Caenorhabditis elegans: one gene and its partners. The protein of the gene in region 1 purifies or fractionates together with the protein of each later gene. This does not show direct contact. Each region holds a gene or a part of one and is shown in the gene's direction. Other genes may lie near its edges. The genes, in order: nuc-1, crn-1 and crn-4.

Region 1 (4,706 bases):
AAAATTATGTTTTCTTCATGCATAAAACAAGGAACAGATGACGGCTCAAATAAGGCTCGAGTTTAATTGTAAATTGAAAATTAAAAAAAGCAAGCTGTACTTTTTTGCTGATTTACACAGCTTCCGACATAAAATGGAATTCTAAAATTATTATGAATCGCTAAAAAATGTTAAAATATTTTTGACTTGATGGGAACTTGTTTGTAATCTTTCAACATGGTTTTTACTGGTACAAATTTTGACGTGAGAAACATTTTTGTACTTTTAAGCTCATAAAAAATATTTACTACTGAATTTACTATTAAAAATCCAAATTTGGAGGCAACTTTCAGTCAAATTTTGTTTGCTTACAACTTTCTGGCAATATTTTGCGGTTGAAAAGCTGACATAAACACTTCCTGGCAACTACGACGATGTTGCCGGAAAGCCAAAGTATTTCTCAAAGGTAAGCGCCAAATATGTACATATTGTTAACCATTTCAGGAAACCGCATTCAATGATTTTTTTTAACGTTGTTCATGTTCAGAAAATCGACCAGATTATTTGTGAGTGGAAATATTACACTTCTACGGTGAAGGCGCTTAATTTTAAAAAAATTAAGAATAATAGTAAAACCTTATTTTTGGAATCAGGATACACATTACAACATCTTTTATATTTATTAAGAAGAAAAACTGGATAAAATGTTAAGTTTTGTAACCGTATTACCTTAAATAGGTTCACTGAGCCTCTATTGGGAAGTAAAGCAATCCACGACTGGATTATCGGCCACAGTCCCCGGCTAAACCACAAATATAGCCCAGTGGGATCACCACCAGGCAAATGATGAACGTGATTTGAAATTTGAAGTTTTGTAACAATTAATCTATTGTATTGTGTTATTAAAAAAAATGACAATGGTTTTCACATCCTCGCGGAGCAAAATGAAATTTGTTTTAGATTCTTGCAGAATTTAAATCCGGAAAAGCACATTTACTTTTGTCTATTAATAAAAATTTCTATGTAGAAAAAATTGTATTTTAAGAGATAGTTATGTCTGTAACAAAAAGGTTATCTTGCATTTATAGTTTTTACGTTGGAAAATACGTTAGTTCGTTACTTAATGTTCAATTCATAAATACTCGTTTAAAAAAACAAACAGAAACGTGATAAAATATATGAACACCGCTACGATTCCAAGTTTCAAATGGCTCAACCAGCCCTCGTTCTCTTGAATGTTTGCCCACTTTTTTCTTCTCGACCACAATTTCCGTCAAGGAAAAGTACACATGCCTACGTGTCATTCTGTGAAAACATCTGTTCGCCATTTTAGTAAACATAGCAAAAAAATTGGTTAGAAAGGTGCTAAAAGGTTAGGAATCGGAGTGTGAATTGGGAAATTGGAAAATGAGGAATCATTGGAGAGAGAGAGAGACAAGAAGAATTAGGCAGCATCTGTTCCTGTGACGTTTTGCCAGGTGAGGGAGGGTAAGAGACAATATGTACCATTATATACAATCTATTTGATATTGGATGGTCTCTTTTCCTAAATTTTCATATTATTCTCTTTAACAGTCATGCAACTTTTTGTTCATCTTTTATGAATGAAAGTTATTCCGATAATGTTTGATGTTGACTGTCAATTTAAGATTTTGCAGTAACTGATAAAATGAGATGATAAAGCACTTGATAAAAAGAGCACGTTTTCAGTTTTCTCACTCACTTCCCTTCTGAAACTTTCAAAATTTCAGCGGAAAAATGGGCTTGTCTCCTGCCGCTGTGCTGATTTTTCTCTTATTAGGAGTTTCCCAAACATATGCAGCATTCTCCTGCAAGGATCAGTCGGGAAACGATGTTGACTGGTAATATATTTTCAAAACAAAAATAATTTACTAATAAGTAGATATTTAGGTTCGCAGTGTACAAAATGCCAATCGAAAAAGATGATGGATCAGTGACAGGATTGGCAGGTGGAGTTGCATGGTACTACGTGGATGTGAATAAAAAGGGAACTTTGACTCCTTCTGCTAAAACTCTCGACGACAACGACCAAGTAAGAAAAATTTTCATTACAAAATTCAGGAAGTAGAATTTCATAAATTTTAGAAAATACTGAATAGTATATTTTTGTACAGCTGCGGAAGTGTTGCAGTAGAGTGTTACAACCTTTTCGCTGAAGTTATTTTGTCTCCAAACTTTTTCTTTCAAATTGCATTTCAATATCTTTTTACATGCAAAGTACTGTATCTAGACCTTATGATTTCGATTAATATTTGCAATGTTTGTAATAGAACTGTTTAACAGTTTTTTCACACATACAAGGTCGAGTATATATGAAATTTTTCCAGGCAATTGCATACACACTCCAACAATACTATGACAAGCAGAATGACAAGACCATCTTCCACGTGATGTACAATGATGAGGTAAGCGAAAATAGAGACTCAGACAGCTGCAGAAACATCAGAATCGTTTGATTTGGCATTGATAAATGCTCACTTGACCATGACCTGGAGCGAACAACTGATAACAGAGAGCAGAGATGGAAACCATTAGACATTTGCAAGTGTTTCTTCTTTCAGCCATGGGGATCAAAGTCGACAAGTGGAATTAAATTGGAAGAGATTCTGAGCAACAGAGTTTATAGCAACTATACTCATGAAGATGACAGTACTTCAACCGCATTCGGACATACTAAGGGAACCATTTTCTTTGATGGAACTTCTGGAGTCTGGTTGGTGCACAGTGTGCCATTGTTCCCAAATCCCACGAAATACGAGTATCCAGTCAGTGGACACGACTATGGACAGACAATGCTTTGCATGACATTTAAGTACGCTCAATTGAAGTCTATTGGAACTCAACTTTTCTTCAATCGACCAAATATATATTCTTCGAATCTTCCAACGAACATGGCTGCTGACAATGCAGATTTGGCTAAAGCAATCGCTGGACAATACCAAAAAGGACAGCCATTCCAAAGCGTTATTGAGTTGGAGACTATGGCTGGATATTCGTTTACTAATTTTGCCAAGTCGAAGGAATTCAATGCAGGTGAGTAGCAAAATTATATCGTATTGCAAGGTTTTTCTAATAACTTTTTTTGTTACAAAACTCTGCAAACTCGAAATAATTTCAATGCTTTAGCTATTTTTGATCATTGTGCATTAATTGTTTGCTAATGGGGTTATTCAAGTAATTTAGCGAAATGTATTTTAATACACTTTGTGACGTTACAATTGTATTAAAATGCATGATTTGGTGACTTGAATAATACAAAAAGTGTGTTTGAAAATACTTTTTGAATATCCGACACTACTCGAATAACCTCATAACTCTCAAACATTTTAAAAATACCGTGTTTTTGTTACAATCAACAATACATTTAGCATTACTAATTTTGAAATAATAGTGTGAATGTAGCCATACTATACAAAAAATACGGCATCATATTTACATGAATATAATTGTGAGATTTTCAAACCTACACAAATACAGATGAAATTTGTGTTAGAATTATTGCGCAATGGGGTTTAGGAAGTTCAAGTTCCACATTTTAATCAATGGTTTTCGTTTTTTACAATTTATTTTACAGATCTATACGATACTCTTGTGGCTCCAACACTGAAAACAGATTTGGTCGTTGAAACATGGAGACGTGGAAGTGAGATCCCACTTGACTGCAAACTAACCTACCACGCCAATGATGCTCTGTCAATTCACGTGAGTTTCAACACTTTCCCTTTTGAAACCTTCCGTCTTGTGGCAATTGTGTCACTCGATGAAATCAGTTTGTCAACAGAAGATTTGTAGGTTGGTAGTACAACCGCGTTCTCATACACCAAAGACCACTCGAAAATGGCTCACTCAGCTGATATGACAAAGCCGTGGGTGTGCATCGGAGATATCAACCGAATGGTGAGTAAAACAAATGGTTAAAAAACTCGAAGTGAAATTTTACAGACATCTCAATATGTACGCGGAGGAGGTACTACTTGTATCAGCAGCTCGTTCCTTTGGAAAGCCTACAGTGTAATTGCAACCCAAAATAATTGTGCATAAAATTACATCTATGTACTTTTGATTATCTACAAATAAATATGATTGATGTACTTCTTAAAAAATTAGTGTGACAGAATTCCAAAAAAAAAAAGAAGTCATAAATCTCAAATATTGCCAGAACCTCTTATATTGTAACGGAAACTTTTCTCTCATTTTTTTGTGTGTCTGGAAAACGAAATTTCTGAAAATTATAACTATCTTTTAATAACCACATTTAAAAAAAAACAGTATTACTGAAAACAAAATCGAATTAAGTGTTTCATCAAGTTTCATGTAATTATTACTTGAATTTATTTTGAGGTTTTCAAGTTGGTGAACAGTTATTGCATGTGCACTGCTCTGCAAGATATTGATTTAGCGTTGGTGAATATTTCACTTTTCTGTAGGTAAAAAATGTGTAAGACGAGGTGAAAAGGGCCAAAAAAAAACCACACGTTTTGGAGATATATACTTTATCAAACTCCAATTCAGCATTTGGTAGTTGGGTGAAAAAAAAACCCCCAAAGGTGCAAAAAATTATTGATTGTTTATTAGACGGTCACTCTGTTCATTGAACCTATGCAATTTCTTACAAACACGTATTATTCTTTTCATATAGAAACGTCGAACATTCCCTAATGGAAAATTAATGTTCTACATTTTGCAAGTAAATTTTGCAAAACTGA
Region 2 (5,050 bases), on another chromosome or scaffold:
GCCAATTCTTCAACTGAACTAGTCCTAAATTTACTTGAAATCTTTGAAAATCAGTATTTTAATGAAATTTGTATTTTTCAGAAAGTGCAACATGACCCCGTTCCACTTGAAATGACGACTGACATGCTCTACGTATCCCGTTTAAAAGTTGAACTTGATCAACGAATGCGTGATTCACAGTTCTTTATTGAAGCAGAGAAAGACGACGAAATTAAGCGTTATTTGGATAAATATTCGAATATTAAGAGGGAAAAGCTTAGCATTGGTACGGAAATCTAGGTGAAATTGTGTCTCAATTTCAGAAAAAACAAAAAAAAAATTTGAAAATTCAACTTTTTGGCTAAATGAGAAGAGCGGCCAATCAGCGATTTGCTCCGCCCATTTTTCAACCAATCAGATGGAATGGGCGGAGTTGGAAGATGCTGATTGGTCGGAGAGTTCGAGGAAATTAGCCAAAAAAAGATTGAATTTTTCTATTTTCTGTAGCGCTTTTTCTGAATTTAAGGCGATTTTTTAACCTTTTCAAATTCATAAAATCCATTTTAGATATGTCCCATATGCCGAATGAGCTCATTTGGCGCCGAGCTAGCTCGAAATCCAAGGAATCTTTGGCAAAACGACGAAAAGTCGCCAATGACGATTCGATGATCAAGGAGAAGTTGAAAAAATTGGAAGAAAAAGAAGCACAGAATAAGGATGATGATGATGACGATGAGAAGGCTGATAATGATGTAATAGATATTTTAATTTCAGATTTTTGACATTTTATATGGGACAGGGCATTTTTTAGCACTTTTTTTTCAGAAAAAATCGAAAAATAATTTTCAGAAAAATCGAAGTAAATAAGTAGAAGAAATGCACGGAAAATGACGAGAAAACTAAAAATCGAAATTTTTCGTTTTTTCGAGAAAAATAATCAAATTTTCAATAATTTCGGGTTATTCCTCATGAATTGCAAAAAAAAAATATTTTCTCATCAAAATTGGCATATCTTTTGATGAATCTAGAGTTTTCTCGTCCCTTTATTTCTGAAAATAAAATTTAATTTTAGTTGAAACATTTGGAAAACTGCTCAAAAAATGTTCGAAAGTTGGAAATTTCTAATTTTCAGACGATTTTTGAGTGGTTTTTCAATTGTTTCAACTAAAATAGGAGCTATTTTCAGATAAATCACTACATTTTAATGAAAATAATTGGAAAAAAATCATATCTTAATTTCAGAAAGACTCTGGCAGTGAAAAATCCGCGGCAGAAGAGGAGGAGAATCCATTATCAGATGATGACAATCAGGAGGAGGATAACGATTACATCTCGGCTTACTTTGATAATGGAGAAGGATATGGGGACGGCGGTAGCGATGATAATTTGGATGCCGATGATATTTAAAGAATCTCCGGACACTTTTTTTGTTGTTTTTGTTGTTTTTCTCTCAATTTTTGAATATCATTGTTAAATATATGAATTTATTTATTGATTTTCCCTTAAATTTAACCCTTTTATTCGTTATTAGCTTCAGATTTAACCAATTGGTTCAGAAAATCGGTTTTTTCAAGGAAAAAAGTGTCCAAATAATGATTACGCAATCGCGCTCCATGGACAACTAATTGAACGCACCGTTTTCCCGCCAAATTGAACGCAGCTCCGATATTTTTTATCCTTTCTTGGGGTTTTTTATAGTGAGAAACACAATTTTAAGCAAATATTTTATTGTTTTTAATCAATTTTAAACGAAAAATATATTAGAATTGTTAATTTATCGTTTCGCAATCTCATACTCATCTTATTTTCTCGAAATCTTGGAGAATATCGGGGGTTTTTCGTTTTTTACGTCAGGAAAGTGCGGCGAAATCCGTATAAATTCGGTGAAATTTCATGAATTTGACTGATATCGTTCGGTAAAACCTAAAAAACCCTATTTAATTGGAGAACAAAAAGGAAAATCGTGTTTTTTTTTCGAAATTCGCTGTAATTCGTTTCCTACCCCCGTTTTCCACTCAAAAATCCACAAACTTCCCAATTTCAGAATATTTCAGATATAAATTCACAAGGACTAACCCCACACCGCTATGGGAATTAAAGGACTCTCCCAAGTGATTGCTGATAATGCTCCCTCCGCGATTAAAGTCAACGAGATGAAGGCGTTCTTCGGAAGAACAGTACGGGAATTTTTTCCTTAGATTTGCAAAATTGAAGGTTCAAAAATTCGAAAAAATAATTTTTTAAAGCGAAAATCTCCAATTTCGTCTACTTTTCTGTGCGCCGCAGTCTGATTTTCATATTTTAAAATATTTTAGTCGTTTATCTCCTGCTATTTTGTTGATTAATGATTTATCGGTTCGACGCGATAAATCAGAAAAATTTGAAGATTTTCAGCTCTAAAATTGGCTCATTTTTACATAATTTTGAACATTTTGAAGAAATTTCCGGGTAAATGTCTTAAATTTCGACGAGTTTTGAGTCTTTACAAGCAAAAAAACAAAAAAAAATGTTTTTTTTTCAGGTAGCAATCGACGCATCAATGTGCCTCTACCAATTCCTCATTGCTGTTCGTCAAGATGGTTCCCAGCTTCAAAGTGAAGATGGAGAAACCACAAGTCACTTGATGGGAATGCTGAATCGTACGGTTCGAATGTTCGAGAACGGAGTGAAGCCTGTCTACGTTTTCGACGGAAAACCACCGGATATGAAGGGTGGAGAGCTTGAAAAACGTTCCGAGCGTCGTGCTGAAGCAGAAAAAGCGCTGACTGAGGCCAAGGAGAAGGGAGATGTTAAGGAAGCGGAGAAGTTCGAGAGAAGACTCGTAAAAGTCACAAAACAACAGAACGACGAGGCGAAGCGTTTGCTGGGATTAATGGGAATTCCAGTTGTCGAGGCTCCATGCGAGGCAGAAGCTCAGTGTGCTCATCTCGTGAAAGCTGGAAAAGTATTCGGAACTGTCACTGAGGATATGGACGCGCTGACCTTCGGCTCCACGGTTCTTCTCAGACATTTCCTGGCTCCAGTCGCCAAGAAAATCCCGATCAAGGAGTTCAATCTTTCTTTGGCTCTCGAAGAAATGAAGCTAAGCGTTGAGGAATTTATTGATTTGTGTATTCTTCTCGGCTGTGACTATTGTGGAACTATTCGAGGCGTCGGGCCTAAGAAGGCTGTTGAGCTGATCAGACAGCACAAGAATATTGAGACGATTCTTGAGAATATCGATCAAAATGTTCGTCGTTCGTAAAATGCCTATTTTATTATAAACGCGCTCCACGGCAAATAAATGCCCCGAACCATGGGTCTCGTTAGGTACTTGCCGGTGAAATCATAAATTCGAATTTTTCACTTAGTTTTGCCTTTTTTTTTAAATTAATTTTGGCATGAAAATCAATGGAAACAACTAAAAAAGCCGAAAAATTCAATAAAAAATTAGCAAATTTTGAACTTACGGTTTTGCCGCCAAATAGCTAACGAGGCCCATTATGCGTGCAAGCGTAATTTTTCGAGAAAAAAAAAATCGAATTTCCAATATTTTCCTGTCATTTTTCAATTTATTGGAGAAAAATTATTTTATTTTTCTCATCAAACTTTAAAAAAAGCTATATTGTTTCTCCTAAAGATTTATTATTGAAAAAATTATGAATTTGTTCGTTTTTCGATTTTTTCTCTGAAAAAAACTCGAAAAATTGAAAAAAAATAAATCGAAAGTTTTCAATGTTTTTTGTGAAAAAACTGACAAAAAAAAGCGGAAATTTTCAGTTTTGTCTAAAAAAATCGAAAAATTTCAATTTCCTACTAGAAAAAACCGAAAAATGGAAAATTTTCTTTTTTCTCTTAAAAAAAATCGAAAAATTTCACTTTCCTTCTAGAAAAAAACCGAAAAATCGGAATTTTTTAAACAACACTTTTGGCTCGAAAGCGGAGCCTTTTGAATTAGCAGTGGAGCGCGTTAACACATCGATTTCAAATTGGATTTTTCTGCGGATCTATAATATATCTAATTTCTAAAAAAAATTCCAGAAATACCCACCACCAGAGGATTGGCCATACAAGCGTGCTCGTGAGCTTTTCCTCAATCCAGAAGTGACAAAACCGGAAGAAGTTGAACTGACATGGAAGGAAGCCGATGTCGAAGGTGTCATTCAGTTCTTGTGCGGAGAGAAGAACTTCAAGTTTGTCCCCATGAACCTCATGAACTTCATCTAATTTTTCTTTCATTTCCAGTGAGGAGCGCATCCGAAACGCGTTGGCAAAACTGAAGACTAGCCGTAAATCTGGAACACAAGGACGAATTGACTCGTTCTTCGGAAACTCGACCAAGGTTACATGTGTGACAGCTGCGACAAAACGAAAGGCGGAGGAAGCTGAGAAGGCGAAGAAGGGAGCAAAGAAGGGTGGACCACCGAAGAAGAGAGCCAAGTAGCTCACACTAACTATTCAATTTCTTATTTGATTTTTGTGAAATATTGATTGAAACGAAATAAGGTTTTTATTTACCTTTATCCTTTTTTTAATGGAACACACAAAGCTAAGAAAACAATAAAAAATTTGGAAATTTTCAATTCCGTCAATTTGCCGATTTGCCCAACACCCATTTGCTGGAAGTTTTCAGGGTTTTTTATAAGACTGACCAATTTGGGAAATTTGAATTTTTCAATTCCGGGAATTTGACGATTTGCCGGAAAAAAATTTTGCGGCTTACCTCTGATGCATACTATTACGGGAACACTAAATTCTGAGAATGCGTATTGCACAACACATCTGACGCGCAAAATGTCTCGTAGCGAAAACTACAGTAATTCTTTAAATGATTACTGTAGCACTGTGTCGATTTACGGGATCTCGATTCTTGGCATGAATTAGTAAAATTATTATTTATGGATTGAATATTAAAATTTAGCGAAAAATGACGAAATAATACAAGAAACGGAGGAAAATTATAAATCGCTATCGATATTCAAAAAGAAATTATAAAACATTCCGAAAATCGAGCGCGTAAATCGACACAAACCGTACAGTAGTCTTTAAAAGAATTACTGTAGTTTTCGCTACGAGATATTTTGCGCGTCAA
Region 3 (4,756 bases), 7.3 Mb from region 1:
AATAAAATTTTAATACATTTTGAGTAGTGAAATGTCATGTATTACCATAATAATTATTAATTAAATGTCTAAAAAACCAAATTGAAAAGAAAATATTCTGGAAAAATTGTAATAATACGTAGTTTAAATTCTTTAAGTTCAACTAAAATTTCCAATTTCTTAAATTTTTAACCGTAGTGAAAATTGCTACCTTTTCCTAAGGTCTCATTACGGAATTAGTTAATCTTAAGTATTTTAGAGTAGACGCGGAATTTCTGAAGTTTTTTAAAGAATACTTTATGACCTACTTTCTGTTTCGTTCTGTGTAATTTTTCTCATTTTTGAAAACTTTCAGGCAGCCATCAACACTTACCAAAAACAGTTTGACGATCTCAATCTTACTCAGCGAATCGCCCAACCAGGTATCTCGGAATACACGCAAATGGTTATCACAAAAAAGTTGAACGCCAGTACAGCTCATATTGATGGTTATAAAGGGAAAATTGCAATGGCCAACACTGTCGAGCAGCTACAGGTGGGAGTTTGCATTAATTGAGATTTGTAATAAACTAAATAAAAAACTTGTGCCTTTTCAGAATCTGTTGACAGAAATCAACCAGCAAATCCGTCGTGCCCGTCAATCCGCAGAAATCAATGCAATGCTAGGACCCCCATTTTGAAATATTCCATGTGATAGATCTCAATTTTGTTTTGAACACGTTTTTTAAAAAATGTTTCTGAAAATGTTCCCGATTATTCTTTCTTCAAGCGTGAACGATTTTTGTTTACGTACCCCAATGACCGTTTTGTATTTACAACATTTTTTGAACTTTATCAATTTTGACTTTGCAATAAAATCTTATGTCTTTTGGCTATTTATTTTAGTAGAAAAAATTAGGAAAATCTTCAGAAATCATCCGTCAATTGTTCGGCAATTTTCACCGGCAATTTTCAACATTCGGAAAATTTTTGAACACTTTCTCGGTTGTTTGAAGTTAATTAGAAGTTATTTTCAAGTAAAGAAAATATTTTTCTATATTGTATCATTAAATTTTTATGAAAAGTATCGGTGGAACATGCCCAACCGTCTCAACTTGTAGAATTTGGCAAAACTCTGGAAGACTTTCAGAGTCAGTCCTTACTTTTTCTTTACTTTTTTTTTACTTTTTATTTTCTTTTTATTTTCTTTTCACTCTTTACTAGCTGGTTTGTCAATAAAATTCTAGACTCATCAACTGTATATTTTCCCGCCCCAAAAAAGTTGGCGTTCCCATCTTGAGGCGATTGCGTAATAGAAATCAAAATAACAATGCGTTCGAGAGCATACTGAGAGAGAGCGGAGACGTAGAGAAAGAGAGACACAGTGAGGAGGGACGGTTTCAGCGTTGATGAGTCATTTGGCCTTTTTGATGAGATTTGACCCCCGCCAAAAAAGTGTGTGACCTCCGCTCACTTGCTGCCTGTGTCTCGATGCCGCGCGTTGCGACGTCGTTGCGCATCCATTTTTAGTTTCATAATCTTGCATGCTCTCTTTCGCAACAACGTTTTCCAATTTCCGATTAAGTTTTTTTTCTAACTTTTGATATTAGTGCTAAATAGATACTGAATCTAACTACTGCGTTGACTTTCTTGTTTCTCTCTTCTCGTTTTCCACAAACAGCTCAAATGTTTAAGAATTGTCGTCAGTACTTTATGTTTCTAAGCCTTAGTAATCCGAACATATATTCAAAGTTTGCCGTTCGCTTTCTGCGTCTCGTTCTCTCTCGTTAACACTGTCCGCATTGGCCACCTATCACTTGGACCGTCGTTTGCAATTATTGATTTTCCAGATTGCGATTCTAAGCCAAATTCAATTTTGCATCTCTCTTTTCTTTATACTCTTTCTGTATCTTTTCTTGCCAATAATCTACATTTTTCAGGTCACCGCTCTCTGTACACAATACAGGATGGCTTACCAACACTGTCCGTTTGATACTTTATTGGTAGGTTCAGCTCAAAATTGTGTGCATCTAAAATATCAATTTCAATTTCAGATTCTCGACTTTGAGACAACATCCGATGCTGCTAATCAAGATTACCCGTGCGAAGTCATTCAGTTCGCGATCGTTGCCTATGATGTCCCAAATGATAAAATTGTGAGAAATTTTGCCGTTTAAAAATATTTAATAATAGTTAATTTTCAGCGTGAGGACATTAGTTTCAACAAGTACGTCAAACCTGTTCTCAATCGGACTTTGACAAAGAACTGTGTCGATTTTACCGGTACGTTTTTATAGTTTGGTTATTTTTATAAATATACATAATACAATAAAGTTTTCAGGAATCCCGCAACGTTCCATTGACACCGCCGACACCTTTGATGTGGTCTACGAGCAGTTCCAGCAGTGGCTCATCACGCTTGGATTGGAAGAAGGAAAGTTCGCTTTCGTCTGTGACAGTCGTCAGGATTTGTGGCGTATTGCTCAGTATCAGATGAAACTGTCCAATATCCAAATGCCAGCTTTCTTCCGTCAGTACATCAATTTGTACAAGATTTTCACGAATGAGATGGATCGAATGGGCCCCAAAGAGCTTTCTGCGACGGTGAGTTCAATTGCAAATAGTTTTTAAAAAAATGTATGATATAAATAATCTTTTCAGACCAACATCGGCAAGATGAACGAATACTACGATCTGCCAACCATCGGACGTGCTCATGATGCCATGGATGACTGTCTGAATATTGCTACTATTCTCCAGCGAATGATTAACATGGGCGCAAAAGTTACTGTGAACGAGCTGCTGACCTGTTGTGCTTCGGTAAGTTTCGATCAATGTTGAAGATCATCTTACAGCCTTTTTATTATCTTCAACTAATATTATGCCAGTGCCCACACTGACCAATCCAAAATTAGATAAAGACCTAGTAGTCCCGCACTGGCTTTTTGAAAAACTAACCGAACATTGTAGATCAATTTGTAAAAGCGTCAATTTTTAGGGAAAAATCACATTAATGCGTGTAGAGCCGATGAAGAAAAATGAATAATTTTCAAAGGATTTTTATACTAAAACAAACTAGTATTGTAGTCTCTGTAAATTTTGCACCCCTAGGTGAATTAAAGACGGAGCACCGAAACTTGACACTATTTTTTCACCCAAAACGGCCTAAAACAACAGGCTTTTTGTAACGAGACGTGCAGAATTTTTTTTCAAAAACATACTTATTTTAGGCTAAAATCACAAATTTTGCCAGATTTAAGCCTCATTTTTATCAAATTATCATGCTTCAATATATATTCTCGTAATTTATTACTCGTTTGTTAGTTGATTTAAATTCATGCTCGGTTGATGGGAACACAAAACTGTATCATATTCGTGTCCCCATAGACCGAAAATGTATTTAAATCAACTAATTAACTTGCAACAAATTACGAAAATATTTAACAAAAAGTGATAATCAAATAAAAAATTCCTTCTGCAAGTTGTGGCTTTGTCAATTTGTCCTTATTTGAGCTCTTCGGTGAAAATAAATAATTTCCCTCCACTCAAAAGTATTAACCTGTAGTTTTGGCCATTTTGCGTCCAAAAAGCGAATTCTCCGATTTTGGTGCTCCCACTTCAAAAATTAGTCTGACGTTAAAAATATCAAAACCACTGTTTTCGAAACTGGTGTATAATTTTATTTTCCTTACAGTGGCGCAGACAACCGCTGGTCTACAACAAAGAATGGAGAAGCAGCTTCATGGACGCTGGAAAGATTTTCGAAAGAGTCCTGCCACTTGTCGTGACTACAATTCGCGCAGGCGACTTTCGTCTCGAGATGTACGGAGTCTGCCGCTATTGCCGCAAAGGAATGGATGTGTGTGGAACAAGTCATCAGCAGACACCACATGATCTCTACAAAAATGAGGAGGATCCTATCCACTTTGCCAAAATTGCCGGTTACTACTAGAATCCGTGAACATCATCAATTTAATACCAAGTTTTTTTTTTCAAATCGCATCTCTTCATTACTTGTCCTTGTACTTGTTACTTGTGATAAGGAATTTTTTCCAAGCTCTCCGTGTACTCTGAAACGAGTTTTTATTCAGATTTTTACGGTATTTGCCCATCACGGGTTTTCTCATGTCATTACGTTTTTTGACTTTTGAATTATCACAAATTTTTATATTAATATAAACTCTTAATTATCAATTCTTCAGAAACTGATTTAAAAAAGTGTATAAATAGACGTGCCAAATATTGCCAGAAAAGCGTCGTCAACTCCGTATTGTCTTTCACCACATTCCAGTATCTTCTTACACTTTTAAAATGAGACGAAAATGTGGTTTTTTTTAATATATCTATTCTCTATTTTTGCAAAACTTTTTTAAAAATAGATGTTTCTGTCCCTTTCTATTTAACAGTTGCTATTGATAATCCGATTTATTTGATTTTCTCGAATGATAAGAAATTAAAACAATTTTGAAACTTTTTCTGCCGACTGTTGCTCCTGCTTGCATGCTGACCCGCTCTGTGTTTGTACAAGTCATTTAGCGAGCCCACGGCAAAGATATATATTTTTTGTTAGCTCATTCACCCCCTGCAAAAAAAGCTTATCTGTTGATTTTTGAAAACTAACTGTCTGCACTTTGTGAAGTAAGAATGGCTTGTGACTCAGTTTTATTTGAAAGTTTGAAATTTTTTCTGGATTTTTTTTAAATTAACAAACTATTTGAGAACTAGTGTTTCTAATATATTGCTCATAGCATATCCTATACCTTTTACTAAAATTTTTTGAAGCTCTCGAGTTTAGAAT

Evidence for each region.
Region 2: the proteins of nuc-1 (region 1) and crn-1 purify together in Caenorhabditis elegans (affinity purification with western blotting, with the first as the bait; one study listed by BioGRID). This does not show direct contact.
Region 3: the proteins of nuc-1 (region 1) and crn-4 purify together in Caenorhabditis elegans (affinity purification with western blotting, with the first as the bait; one study listed by BioGRID). This does not show direct contact.

Annotation. Positions count from the first base shown.
Region 1 is NC_003284.9:9,538,209-9,542,914, forward strand, and holds nuc-1 (Deoxyribonuclease-2), read left to right. Parts: upstream 1-1,696; 5' UTR 1,697-1,737; coding exon 1,738-1,841; intron 1,842-1,890; coding exon 1,891-2,032; intron 2,033-2,327; coding exon 2,328-2,405; intron 2,406-2,561; coding exon 2,562-3,033; intron 3,034-3,574; coding exon 3,575-3,702; intron 3,703-3,792; coding exon 3,793-3,897; intron 3,898-3,942; coding exon 3,943-4,041; 3' UTR 4,042-4,121; downstream 4,122-4,706. UniProt on the Caenorhabditis elegans protein: Hydrolyzes DNA under acidic conditions with a preference for double-stranded DNA. Implicated in apoptosis.
Region 2 is NC_003279.8:3,479,964-3,485,013, forward strand, and holds crn-1 (Flap endonuclease 1), read left to right. Parts: upstream 1-2,033; 5' UTR 2,034-2,066; coding exon 2,067-2,156; intron 2,157-2,500; coding exon 2,501-3,208; intron 3,209-3,999; coding exon 4,000-4,151; intron 4,152-4,203; coding exon 4,204-4,402; 3' UTR 4,403-4,537; downstream 4,538-5,050. Other genes in the region: Y47G6A.9 (DNA-directed RNA polymerase III subunit), read left to right, coding at 82-265, 547-731, 1,222-1,386. UniProt on the Caenorhabditis elegans protein: Structure-specific nuclease with 5'-flap endonuclease and 5'-3' exonuclease activities involved in DNA replication and repair.
Region 3 is NC_003284.9:2,255,244-2,259,999, reverse strand, and holds crn-4 (3'-5' exonuclease crn-4), read left to right. Parts: upstream 1-1,898; 5' UTR 1,899-1,925; coding exon 1,926-1,961; intron 1,962-2,012; coding exon 2,013-2,114; intron 2,115-2,162; coding exon 2,163-2,241; intron 2,242-2,299; coding exon 2,300-2,562; intron 2,563-2,619; coding exon 2,620-2,778; intron 2,779-3,652; coding exon 3,653-3,910; 3' UTR 3,911-4,152; downstream 4,153-4,756. Other genes in the region: AH9.3 (uncharacterized protein), read left to right, coding at 335-514, 576-659. UniProt on the Caenorhabditis elegans protein: Possesses 3'->5' exoribonuclease activity in digestion of DNA and RNA. Cleaves nucleic acid substrates with efficiencies in the following order: single-stranded RNA (ssRNA) > double-stranded DNA (dsDNA) > single-stranded DNA (ssDNA).